Linked DNA regions of Xenopus tropicalis. The protein of the gene in region 1 purifies or fractionates together with the protein of each later gene. This does not show direct contact. Links are inferred from orthologs where the notes say so. Each region holds a gene or a part of one and is shown in the gene's direction. Other genes may lie near its edges.

Region 1 (4,401 bases):
CTGGAAGGAGTAAGGCAATCTGCTGCAACATCACAGGAATAAGTACCAGGAGATCGCTTGGCGTACTTGCATTTATAGCAAGGATGTCCTAAAATGGGCCACCAGAAGTCCTACCTTTGGTCTTTTGGCCAAGTTTAACACATGTGAGAGGGCAGCTACAGCACTGTATTCATGATGGGGGATTTGGGGAGAGGCACATAGGCTTCTGGGTAGATGGAGGGTATAACTGAGCAGCTTTAGATTCTCGGTTACCAGATAAGGAAGTGAAATCCCAGGCAGATGCAACAACATACCTGGCATAACCAGTTTCCCTGGCAGCTTTAGATGTGCCCATGCCAGGTGGGCAATTAGTTGGGTGGAGGGGGCTGTGTGCATGTGCAGTGAGTGACATGAGAAGGGCTTAGTGATGTAACTTGTGGACTCCCAGCAGTCACTCATGGACTCCCAGCAGGCCAACCCTGGGGAACGAGTTGACATCTCAGCAACCCTGTTTATATAATGTGCGGAGTTCATTGCCTACAGTACATAACTGGTATGCCTTGTGCTACTGCACTCCAGATAAACTTATTCTTACAGTACCTATGGCCTGCATAGGGAATCAGGGATCTTTAGCCTATGACTCACTTACTGTTCTTGAACTATAACTATCACAAATACCACACTACACTTAGCAGTGTAGGGCTACTAGCAGTGTAAGGTCACTGTTTAGCAACCGGAGAGCAAGAGGCTGGAGACCCATTTAATCTAGACTGTAAATTATCTCCATCTGTGTTAAAAGCAGTTCCAAAAAATAAAGCAGACACTTCTATCCAGAATGTTATAATGTAAAATGTTATACAGAACAGCATTAATGTATATAATCATTGTTGATATTTCATTAATAAAAAGTAATTGCTAATCAATTACATTTTTTCAAGCAATAAATGTGATATAAATCAAAATTTAGGTTCCACCGAGATTTGAACTCGGATCGCTGGATTCAGAGTCCAGAGTGCTAACCATTACACCATGGAACCGTCTATGAACACTTCACAACATACACCTTTAGAATTTTTCCATAGAGTTTTTCCTTCATATATCCTTATAATTATAGATATATTCATATTTGCATTGTCGGTTACTTTTCAAATAATCTCAGGTCCAAGTCTCCTCGTTTAAACACAATCTCTGTTTTTGTTCCACTTCTCACTGCGGCTGCCCAGCCCACCCAGCTTCAATCAAGGCCGCCATCTTACTACTCCCAACCCCTCGCCGACAGTGCAAGTAGGTGCGCACAAAGGCATTTCAGTTGATAAAACATGGGAAACGTGCAGCAACGTTGCTAGCAGCCCCTTTACTCATACATTAAGCACCTCCCGTTAGACATGAAAAGAAACATCTTGTTTGTCAGACTCGCACCATTGCGCTCAGTTGCCAGGTAACCCGGAAGTGACGGTTGGGCCGTTTCCGTGCAGGAGTGGGCGGAAGTGCTGCTCCTGTTTCTGGGAGGGGTTCGGACACTGCCGGGCTTCCTGGAGATCTGACGGTTGCTGCTGTTAGCCGCACATCGCGAACGTCAGAAGTACCGCGAGGATGGGTACCAGGGACGACGAATACGATTATCTGTTTAAAGGTAACCGGGGCTTGGGGGGCGACTGGCAGCCTCTGCTGCACACTCTGGAGGTTAAACCTCTCGGTAACAAGGATGTAGGCTGACGTTTATGGCGAGAATCACCGGCTGTGGTTGAACTTTAGGCTGTAGCCAAGCTATTCCCGCTCCAGCTGGAGCCTGTCAGGGCGGTGACACTGGGGCTGCTGGATTCCGTAAATGGAATAGTAGATACAGGGCTGGGAAGCCCAGAGTACATCGATCCAGGTTGTTACTGTGTGAATAGATCAGGTGATCAGGCTCCAAAGTGTGGGGAAGTGTTTTGGGGTCGTGAGTCAGTGAAGCATGGGAGGAAAGGAGGGTCAGTAGGGTGTTTGTGGCTACAAGGACAGGAAACCCTTTTCTTTTCTAGGGGAAGTCGTTGGGAAATAGAAATAGAAGGAAGTATCTGTGCTACATTTGCTACAGGGGCACAGAGACAACATTGTTTTTCTCCAGTGTTAATAAAATACGAAAGTCTGCCTGACAGCTGCCTTCCATCCATTGGATGGTGTTCAGTGAAACTCACACTTCCTTGGGTCATGTGACACATGTGACATCACTATGTGCCAGTTCTAACTCATGACCTCATAAAGCCTTGGCTATGAGGGTGTATTTAAGGCGGAATTCATGGCTTTTGGTGTTGTATTTTTATTAAAAGGGATTGATGATGTAGTGGGGTAATGAAGCAAAAGCATTTTAGGGTTCAGCTAAACTCTGGGAATATGGGGATACACTGTAACAGATTATCAGTCTGTGCCTAACTCCCCCCACCCCCCTGCAGTCCCAGACGTTGCTTTCCTCTGTAGTTGCACCCATGTCATTCTTGGGTGGTGGTAGGAATTGGGTGTGTAGTTCCTCTGTTTTACTCACTTAAGGTGTTTAACTTACTGAAGGTATATCCTTTAAGGGCAAGGAAATATCCCTGGGGAGGATGCTGAGTGATTCAGTTCAGTCACTTCAGACTCTGGGCCCTTCCCTCTCTTTAAAAAATGCAGCAGCCTGGGGTACTTTCCTTCTCAGTGTTGCACCGCCGCACTCTTCCAGTGCCCCAGAACCCTCTGCTCTGCCTGGGCAAGTTACAGGGTATGGCACAAAGCATTTTTGGACGAAGAAGAGACCTGGACTTGGGTTGCATTGTGTCCAGCTCTGCTTGCCCTTTATATCATCACATCTTCTCGCCACTTAGTTCTCGGGTTACCATTCTGTTTATTTGCTCAGTCACATACTTCTCTTACGTTGCAGCTGCCCAGTGTACAGACGAGCGCATTAGGTGCAGAATCTTCCCAGCAAATCCAGCCATTTCCACCACACTGTGCTTGGCCAATCTCTCTTAATTTGTTTGTGATGAAAGTTATAATTCAGCAACAACTGAACTGGGATCGGGATTGCACAAATTTTCCATTTAAGCTATTGGGATTTGCACTCTGTTGGCAGAAGCAGGATGAGAGTTGCTAATGGAGGTTACTAGTATAATTATTCACTGGGTTTGGGAGACATTATGGCATTAGCTGTACTTTCAGCTCTGCCAGGGTTAAACATTGGTGAGGCTGAGAAGATGGAGTCAGACTTTCACCCTGCAGGTTGTGTTTCGTTCAGGGTCAGTGGCTAAAGCACTGTTTGACCTCTCGCAAGTCTGGAATGCAGGGTGGGGTAGTGAGGAAAGCACAGGTCTGCACAGGATATTAATTCATCAGCCCCCACCTCCTCCTCTTTCTATCAGGATAGGACTCCCACTTGTCAGCTGGGCATTTTGCTTTGCCTTTATTATTTCTGTCTCTGAATCCTTCAGGCTTTTTGCCAAATCCTTGCTTATTTGATTTAAAGGGGAATTCCACCCACATGCTGGTATTTTTGCCCTTCATTGGGTAGAAGGGTTTGAGTGGAATTCCTTTTTATTTCCCAGAGGGCAAATTATTTAAGAAAAAATAGCTTTATGCAGAATTAGGTAAGTTGCTGTATATGAGGCAGTTTACACCCGTGGGCCAAACAGGCGTGGGGAATTAAAAAAGAAATGAAATTGCACTGTAATTGCCCTGGGATTACACATCCATTGGTTATGGTGTGTGTCTTGCTTAGATCTCAGCTTGTAGGAGCAGTTAGTGTAAGTGCTATGGCTATGCAGGAGGGTTTGGGGGTCTATGAATTCTGTATGTTCAGAGAAATGTTGCCTGGCAACCGCGTGTCATGGGGGCAGTTTGGGGCTCCTCAGTTTGTGATCTCGACCACCAGCATTAAATGCCGGTGTGCCAATGCCCTGTGCTGCCCGAGTTCTCTGGGCACTGTCACTGCGAACAGCACATACACTTGCACAAGGCTTGTGTGCAGATCATGGGAGACTTGACAAATAGTAGGTGTGGTAGGTGTTGGTGTTCCATTCACTTATCGAACTGGAAAACTCCCTTCTCCTTTACCCCCTCCCCAAAATGTAACCTGTTTTATTTGCAGGCCTCGTGCACATACATGTTTAATCCCAGGCAGGTTGGTAGGTTTCAGTTACTTGGCCTGTTTTACTCACAGCCCATTTGTACCCACTGAGCTTTATGGGGTGACCCAGTTTGCACCGCAGTGTAAGTCTTTTACTCTCTCCCTCTCTGGGTTTGACCTGAGTGGCACCTAAACCCATGTGCCTATAATAATCCTTCTCTTTATACTGGGTTATGTATGTACCATGCAGGCTTTCCTTGTGCCAGATGGGCACTGACCTGCATCCTCAGCTGGCTATATAGCTCTGCCAGTAACTTCCCTCGGGCACAGCTTTGTGGCATTCTCTC
Region 2 (3,652 bases), on another chromosome or scaffold:
TTCTCCCTTTAGATGAATAAATAAACCTGAGAGGAGCATGGTGATCTAATGTCTTATATGTTGGTAGTATAAATAAATGTCAGGAGCTGTTTTGTAGTTTACACAGTTAACTATGTAACTTATCTTTGCTTAGTCTGCAAAAGTGTTTTTAAATGCTTGATTGTGCATTTACTGGAAATCGAATTGCATGCAGTTTAAATTATAGCTTTCCCTTAGCTGAGTACAGAATCCTAATTATATAGCTACAAGTTAAATCGTAGCTAAGATATATAGTGTATCTATTGTCAAGATGAACAAATATATTTCAGAGTTCTTACAATGGTCTTCCAAATGCTCCTACAGAATTATTTCTTACTCTCATCATCAATGGACAAGACAGTGCGTCTGTGGCATATATCCAGGAGGGAGTGTCTTTGTTGCTTCCAGCATATTGATTTTGTTACAGCAATAGCTTTCCATCCAAGGGTGAGTCATGTTTCTGTGGTTTTCAAGATATTGTGTTAAACCCAGATTGCTTTCATTTTTTTTAAACCTGGCAATTTTAGGCTTATTTAGCATGTAACAGTTCTTCTGAAAAAAGCTCTGAAAATTGTCCCAGGAAAAAGTCTGTTCATTAATGTTCATGTCGATGGAAGCAGGTATGTTTTGCTAATATTATTGCTGTTGCACATGGGACAATTGTCATCATGGCAACTTTTGCAGAGAAAAATGTACCACTTGTGCCATAACTCTAAGAGGCATGTTTATTATTGTTTGGTTCAGTTGGTTCGACTTGTTGCCAAAGGGATTTTAACATGGTTTTTTGTTTGTTTTTTACCACAAGCAGGTTTTGGAAAAAAATAAAAAGCTTGCTACCTAAAAGCTGGTAGGATTCAGGCACTTACTCTCACATTCTATAACCTATTGCTCATGCCTGGAGGCTGAAGCTATATTAAAAATGCTCCTATGGGTAACTTCACTTATGGTTATTTTTAAAGTAGAGCCACCACCAGAAAGCTAATACAAATTTTTAATCAGTTGATACATGAGTAGAAATCAAGTTTATGCAGTTAGCAAATTTTAGGTCAATTTGAAGAGTTTTCGAATTTATTTTTGTTGTATTTAATTCAGTTTATGCTGTATTCAAAATGTAATTGTATAGAGCTTTCTCTCTAGGATGATCGTTACTTCTTAAGTGGTTCTCTTGATGGTAAACTCAGGCTTTGGAATATTCCTGACAAGAAAGTTGCTTTGTGGAACGAGATTGATGGACAAACGAAATTAATTACAGCCGCTAACTTTTGTCAAAATGGAAAACATGCAGTTATTGGCACGTATGATGGAAGGTGCATTTTTTATGATACTGAGGTAATCACTTTTTTTGATGAGGGGTGCTGGGGTATAATGGATTTAAATGTGACGTTACATTGGAAAACAGTATTGTTTTTAAGTAATATTGTTTTGTTTTCTCCTTCTAGCATTTAAAATACCATACCCAAATACATGTACGCTCCACGAGAGGGCGAAACAGGGTAGGAAGAAAAATTACTGGAATAGAGCCATTACCGGGTGAAAATAAGGTACGTTTTAAATTATTTTGTGACAAGCAGAATGAAGCTACTCACTGGCTAAACTGATAAATTATGTAGATGATATATTATTGCAAAATTAGCATCCTTAGCTAATAACATCTAAATCACATATACACATAGTACATGTTTTGTGCACTTAGTATTTATTCACTACATAATATTGTTATGATTGCATGTTGTCCTCCTAATGAAAATGCAGACAAAATTGACTTTTTTTCTATTATGTACTAATAGCAGCAATGTTTGTTTGTGTTTGGTACCCCATGGCAATCAGAAGCTTACTTTCAGTATACTGAAGATGTACACACATACATTTTTAATTTGGTTCCTGCACAAACACAATTTCCTTCAATATTGTTTAACTGTAGTCGTACACCAGACCGACCTGTGACACCACTGAGTATGTGTGGGGTGATCTGCCAGTGCAACACTGTAACAAAGAGTGCCTTAAACTTGATCCCAATTTAGCTATAATTAATCCTTATTGGAGGTTAAACAGTCCTACTGGGTTTATTTTGTCTAAATCATTTATAGTAGACTTACGGTATTGTGACAAATTGTGTAAAGATCCCAGGTCCTGAGCATTCTGGATGATAAATCCCATACCTGTAATACAAATATTGACAGAGACTCACACTTAAAGGTCTTTCAGTTCATTAAGTTAAGTATACATTATGACATTATGCACATCTTTTTTTTTTTTTTTTAGTTAAACATCCCAGTAATCGTGCTTCTTTCTATAAATATTTTTATACTAGAGCACACTAAGGGGCCCATTCATTAAAACACAAATTTCGGATTGTTAAAAAGCATGATTGGAAAAATTTCGTAGTAACCACAATAATTTCTGATGTGCGTAAATTGCGTGAAAATTTGTGTCGTGGTCGTACAAAATATTGTGGTTGCGATACGAAAGTTAGGAAATTTTTGTATCTGAACGATCGTAAAAGGCGCGAAAACCTTTCTGACTTTAAAACTTCAGTGCATGATTTTGGAAGCCTTTCATAGGACTCAATGGCACTCTGCAGCTCCAACCTGGCCAAAGGAAAGTCACGATACTGAAGCTTGAATGAATAACAAAATTTTTGTTGTCTTTGTGTAAAGTACGACTTTTTCGTAGAATAACGTATGTATCTCGAAAAAGTCATACTATTTTAATGATATTGTTAACAGTACAAATAGTTCAAAACTTTAAAATAAAAAAAAAAAAAGAAGAATAGAATAAGAATTTTTTTCAGTCGTGGTCATGCTTTAATGACTGGGCCCCTCAGTGTAATAGTAAAAGCAGAATTAAAACATAAATTCATCATTATAGTATAAACCCCCATTTTCAGTTTTTCAGGGGACCAGAAAAAAAATGGTGCAAAATCCAGGAAAATGTAAAATCAGGGAAGTTTATTATGTGTTATATATTAGTGGGACCACAAAACAATGGTGTAAAATGCAGGAAAACATTCTCCATATCATATAAGTTCATATACAACAATTTGCTATTTTTAGTTGCACTGTTTGCAATGTGTCTGTTGACAACCTGTGAACAGAAACATAGGCACAAAGTCCCTCTTTGCTTTGCATGCTTTGGAAGCATGTTTGGCTTTTTTTGTATTACCATTTATTTTCAAGATTATCATTTTAAAGGAACAGTAACACCAAAAAATGAAAGTGTATAAAAATAATTAATATATTATATACTATTGCTCTGCACTGGTAAAAGTTGTGTGTTTTCTTCCTAAACACTACTGCAGTTTATATAAATACCCTGCTGTGTAGCCATGGGGGCAGCCATTTAAATTGAAAAAAGGAGAAAAGGCACAGGTTACTAAGCAGATAACAGATAAGTAGTATAGATTCCCATTGTATTCTTCACAGTTTATCTGTTATCTTCTTATGTAACCTGTGCCTTTTCTCCTTTTTTCAATTTAAATGGCTGCCCCCATGGCCTCACAGCAGCTATTTCTATTAACTACAGTAGTCTTTCTGAAGCAAACACGCAACTTTTACCAGTGCAGGGCAACGGTACATTATATTTTAATTATTTTAAAACATTTTTATTTTTTAGTGTTACTGTTCCTTTAAAAATA
Region 3 (3,652 bases), on another chromosome or scaffold:
GGCTTTGAATATGTTGGGGCTGCCTCTACATCCTCTTAAGCCAGTAAGTTACTGTTGGCTATTGATGTGTAGGTAGTGTTTGCAAGCATATACAGTACTCAGGGTTGCATTGTTGGTAGTCCTGGTGCTCCTGTTTTATTGCATTTTTAGTATACACCTGCTTAGCGCTGCTTACATTGTGCTTCTTTCCCATACACATGGCTTCAACTCCTGCAACAGATTTCTGGAGGAAAGGATGGTTTACAGAAGCGAGTACTAGTTTATTTTTCTCCCTTGTAGCGTCATCTAGCACGCACTGCAGGCCGGTGGAAAGATCCACCTAAGAAGAACACAATCAATGAGCTGCAGGATGAGCTGATGACTGTTCGATTGAGAGAAGCAGAAAGGCATGCTGAGCTTCGGGAGGTCAGGCAGCGAATGATGGAGATGGAAACACAGGTACTGCAAAGGCACATTGTAATGGTTGTATATTAGTTAAAGTTGCACGAGTTCGAGTTGAAAAATGACAGTCTGTCAAGTTTAATATATATATATATAATACCCTGTCTACCTTACTTGTCATTCACATGCACAAACTAGAGAGCAAAAATGGGTGCAAGGTACACAGACCATTGCAACAGGAACAAGGGCTTTGTGCATGAACCCCTTAGAGCTGTAGCTCTTGTGCATAGGGCAAATGGTAAGGAGAGAGGCCCATTGCGTTTTTTCTTTTTGATGCACTTTATTTTAAAAGTGAACACTAGAGGGCAATGTTTAAGCACAGGCAGACTCAAACTGCCGATAGAATTACTTATCCTCAGATTAATTACGTGGGACTTGTACTGAGAAGATTGTTTTAAGAGCTGCTTAGAGAAACCATTTCAGACAACATTGTTTCTGGATTCAGATCCAGGACTGTGGAGAATGCAAACAGTCAGACAAATATTGCTTTATAAACCACTGAAAGGGTGTATGAAATGTATATTTTATAATTGCTTGGAATTAATACTTGGGTGGAGGATCTCTTTAAGGCATTGTCCAAATTCAGTGGTACTGAGGGCCAGAATTTTTCGGACCTGCAAGGTGGAGGGCCAATAGTGAATGTCCATTTTGGCCACTGCCTTTTTTAAACCACACCAACTTTAAACCATGCCTATGTTAACACAAACATTTTTAAGACCTTATCTTCTATAATGGTGGTAGCACCCTAACGTCCAAAACACTTCTGCCCAACTCCAAAACTTTCTAGATTCTATAACCGTAACTTTCCCAAGACTACATCCAACAATATATACTCTCCTAGATAGACCCATAACAGCTGGGGCCATTCAAGAGACAATCTCATCAATGGCATCCTGTAAGGCCCCTGGGCCTAATGGCCTTCCAATAGAGTGGTTGAGGATGCTGGGCAAGAGAGCAGCAGGTACCCTATGTGAAATACTCTGTCATCCGAACAGGATGGCCTATTGCCCTTCTAAGCTAATGCCCTTATAGTTCTAATTCATAAGGAAGTAAAACCCCTAGAACAGTGTGTATTTTATCGCCCCAAATCGTTGACTAATGTGGATGCTAAGATATTAGCTAAGGAATTGGCCACCAGACTCAAATTGATTATGCAGACCAAACTGGCTTTATGCCTCACCAATCCACAGATGTAAATCTGAGGAGATTATATTACAACCTACAATTCCCACATGACAATTTGCGATCCAATTGAGTGGCCATACCTATGGGGAATCTTAAAACACTTCAGTTTTGGTAAGAAATTCTATATAGGGACCTTATGTCCCAAGTTCAAGCAAACAATTTTATCTCACCGGCTTTTTCTTTGAGCAGAGGGACAAGACAAGGGTGCCCCCTCTCTCCCCTACTTTTTGCTTTAGCAATAGAGCCCCTTGCTATATAAATCTGCCACTCCAAGAAACAATCAGGACTAAAATATGGTCCCATTGAAGAAAAAATATAGTTATATGCGGATGATGTCCTACTCTATCTGGCAGATCCAGGCCCCTCGCTATTAGGAATTTTAAGAATCTTTTCCTGGTTTACTATATTCTCTGGACTCCGTATTAATTGGACCAAATCGGTCCACACCAAGCGGCTGACCCCCACCTACAGTAGGTAAATACTTTCAAATATTTAGGGATAAATATACATCTTGCTCCCAAGCAATACATTTCTTTGAACATTACTCCCATCAATCAACTTGCAACATCATTAACTAATTGGGTATCTCTTCATTCTTTCCTGTGGAATAATAAGATACCAAGGATCTCATTTGCTATGCTGACTGCTTCATATACTAGAGGAGGGTTGGGTCTCCCAAACCTATACTTCTATTATTTAGCAGCCCAATTTAGCTATATCACTTGGCGGCTCACTCAGGTCTTTGAAAATCAAAATGTAGTACTTCAGGCTCATACTCTGGGCTCATTGGAGGCACTGAAAAATTACCTTTTTAGGAAACCCAAAGATCACTTTCCCCTTCCTCCCTGTATGAAGGCTCCAGTAGCCGCATAGCAAGCATCAAATGGTGATTTTACCCATTTAACATAAAATACATATGTATGTCACTGACCTTTGTGCAGTACAAAAGGCATGTTATGAGCAATACAAGTAATTTACCCAGGTAACAGAAATATAGTTTACCCACTTCTGTGGGTGAAGTTATGTCGTGCTTTCTGGCAAAAATATGTGTCTGTCTTCCTGATTTCCAAATCAGTATTGTATTTCAGTTTTGTTCTGTCTTTATTTCAGAATCAGATAAACAGCAACCAGCTTCGAAGAGCAGAACAAGAGGTCAGCAGCCTGCAGTCAAAAGTGCAGTACCTCACAGCCCAAAACAAAGGGCTACAAGCCCAGCTAAATGAAGCAAAGCGCAAGCAAGCAGAGATTGAGTGCAAGGTAACCTCTTTAATAGTCTTTGGTTCTGGTGCTGTTTGTGTAGTGGAGTAGTCCTAGTGGTACTGGCACAGGCAATCAGTAACCCTCTGTTTTGTAGTAGGGAGAGTTAAGAAGCAGTGCCTGGGGGGGACTACGTTTGAAAGAATTTTTGGATAAAATTAAGGGTGAACACTTGCTTGCTGTCCTTGATATTGGAAGTTGGCTAGTACAATGATATACTGTATTTTATGAGCTAAAGGGGCAAAGAACTGTTACTGGACCCTAAAAATGGTGCAAAAGCTGTTGTCCTTGTTCATTATGGCTAGTTAAGATTGGTTTTCTTTAGTAGTAAACTTCTACTAAATATAGGTAAATCCGTAGTAATGTTTAAATATTAAGGGCACCATCTGATAGTAGATCCAATTTAAGGCTGATCTACCATACAAATTTAATTGTGGTGGCATAAACTAGGCTCATAGACAGAAGTACCTCTAGAACAAAGTGGTTAAGGGGAAAGAAGAAAAGGCCTTATAGTGGTGAGCTCATTAAACAGAAAACAAAACTTAAAAGTGGAAGGAGACAAATGATTCACTGTGTGGAACCAGTCCTACTGACTGTAAAAGGACCTAATTTCTTATCTGTCGGGTGGAAAGTAGTCATTATGTGGAACAGAAGAATTGTTCTAGAATCAGACTTTAACTCTCACAGAAATCTGGTATATACTCTAGCTGCTGCTTCTACTTTTTTGCAGGGGGAGATCATGTTGAGTTTTGCCTTCTGCTTTATTTCT

What was found.
Region 2: the proteins of rab11a (region 1) and wdr44 purify together in Homo sapiens (affinity purification with mass spectrometry; 3 studies listed by BioGRID and IntAct, counting the BioPlex papers as one, with this or other methods). This does not show direct contact. The link is inferred for Xenopus tropicalis from reciprocal best matches to the Homo sapiens genes RAB11A and WDR44.
Region 3: the proteins of rab11a (region 1) and evi5 purify together in Homo sapiens (co-immunoprecipitation; 3 studies listed by BioGRID and IntAct, with this or other methods). This does not show direct contact. The link is inferred for Xenopus tropicalis from reciprocal best matches to the Homo sapiens genes RAB11A and EVI5.

Annotation. Positions count from the first base shown.
Region 1 is NC_030679.2:116,824,709-116,829,109, forward strand, and holds the start of rab11a (ras-related protein Rab-11A), read left to right. Parts: upstream 1-1,522; 5' UTR 1,523-1,572; coding exon 1,573-1,612; intron 1,613-4,401. UniProt on the Homo sapiens protein: The small GTPases Rab are key regulators of intracellular membrane trafficking, from the formation of transport vesicles to their fusion with membranes.
Region 2 is NC_030684.2:67,156,676-67,160,327, forward strand, and holds part of wdr44 (WD repeat-containing protein 44), read left to right. Parts: intron 1-342; coding exon 343-465; intron 466-1,155; coding exon 1,156-1,347; intron 1,348-1,457; coding exon 1,458-1,559; intron 1,560-3,652. UniProt on the Homo sapiens protein: Downstream effector for Rab11 which regulates Rab11 intracellular membrane trafficking functions such as endocytic recycling, intracellular ciliogenesis and protein export.
Region 3 is NC_030680.2:104,390,711-104,394,362, forward strand, and holds part of evi5 (ecotropic viral integration site 5 protein homolog), read left to right. Parts: intron 1-279; coding exon 280-438; intron 439-2,736; coding exon 2,737-2,883; intron 2,884-3,652. UniProt on the Homo sapiens protein: Functions as a regulator of cell cycle progression by stabilizing the FBXO5 protein and promoting cyclin-A accumulation during interphase. May play a role in cytokinesis.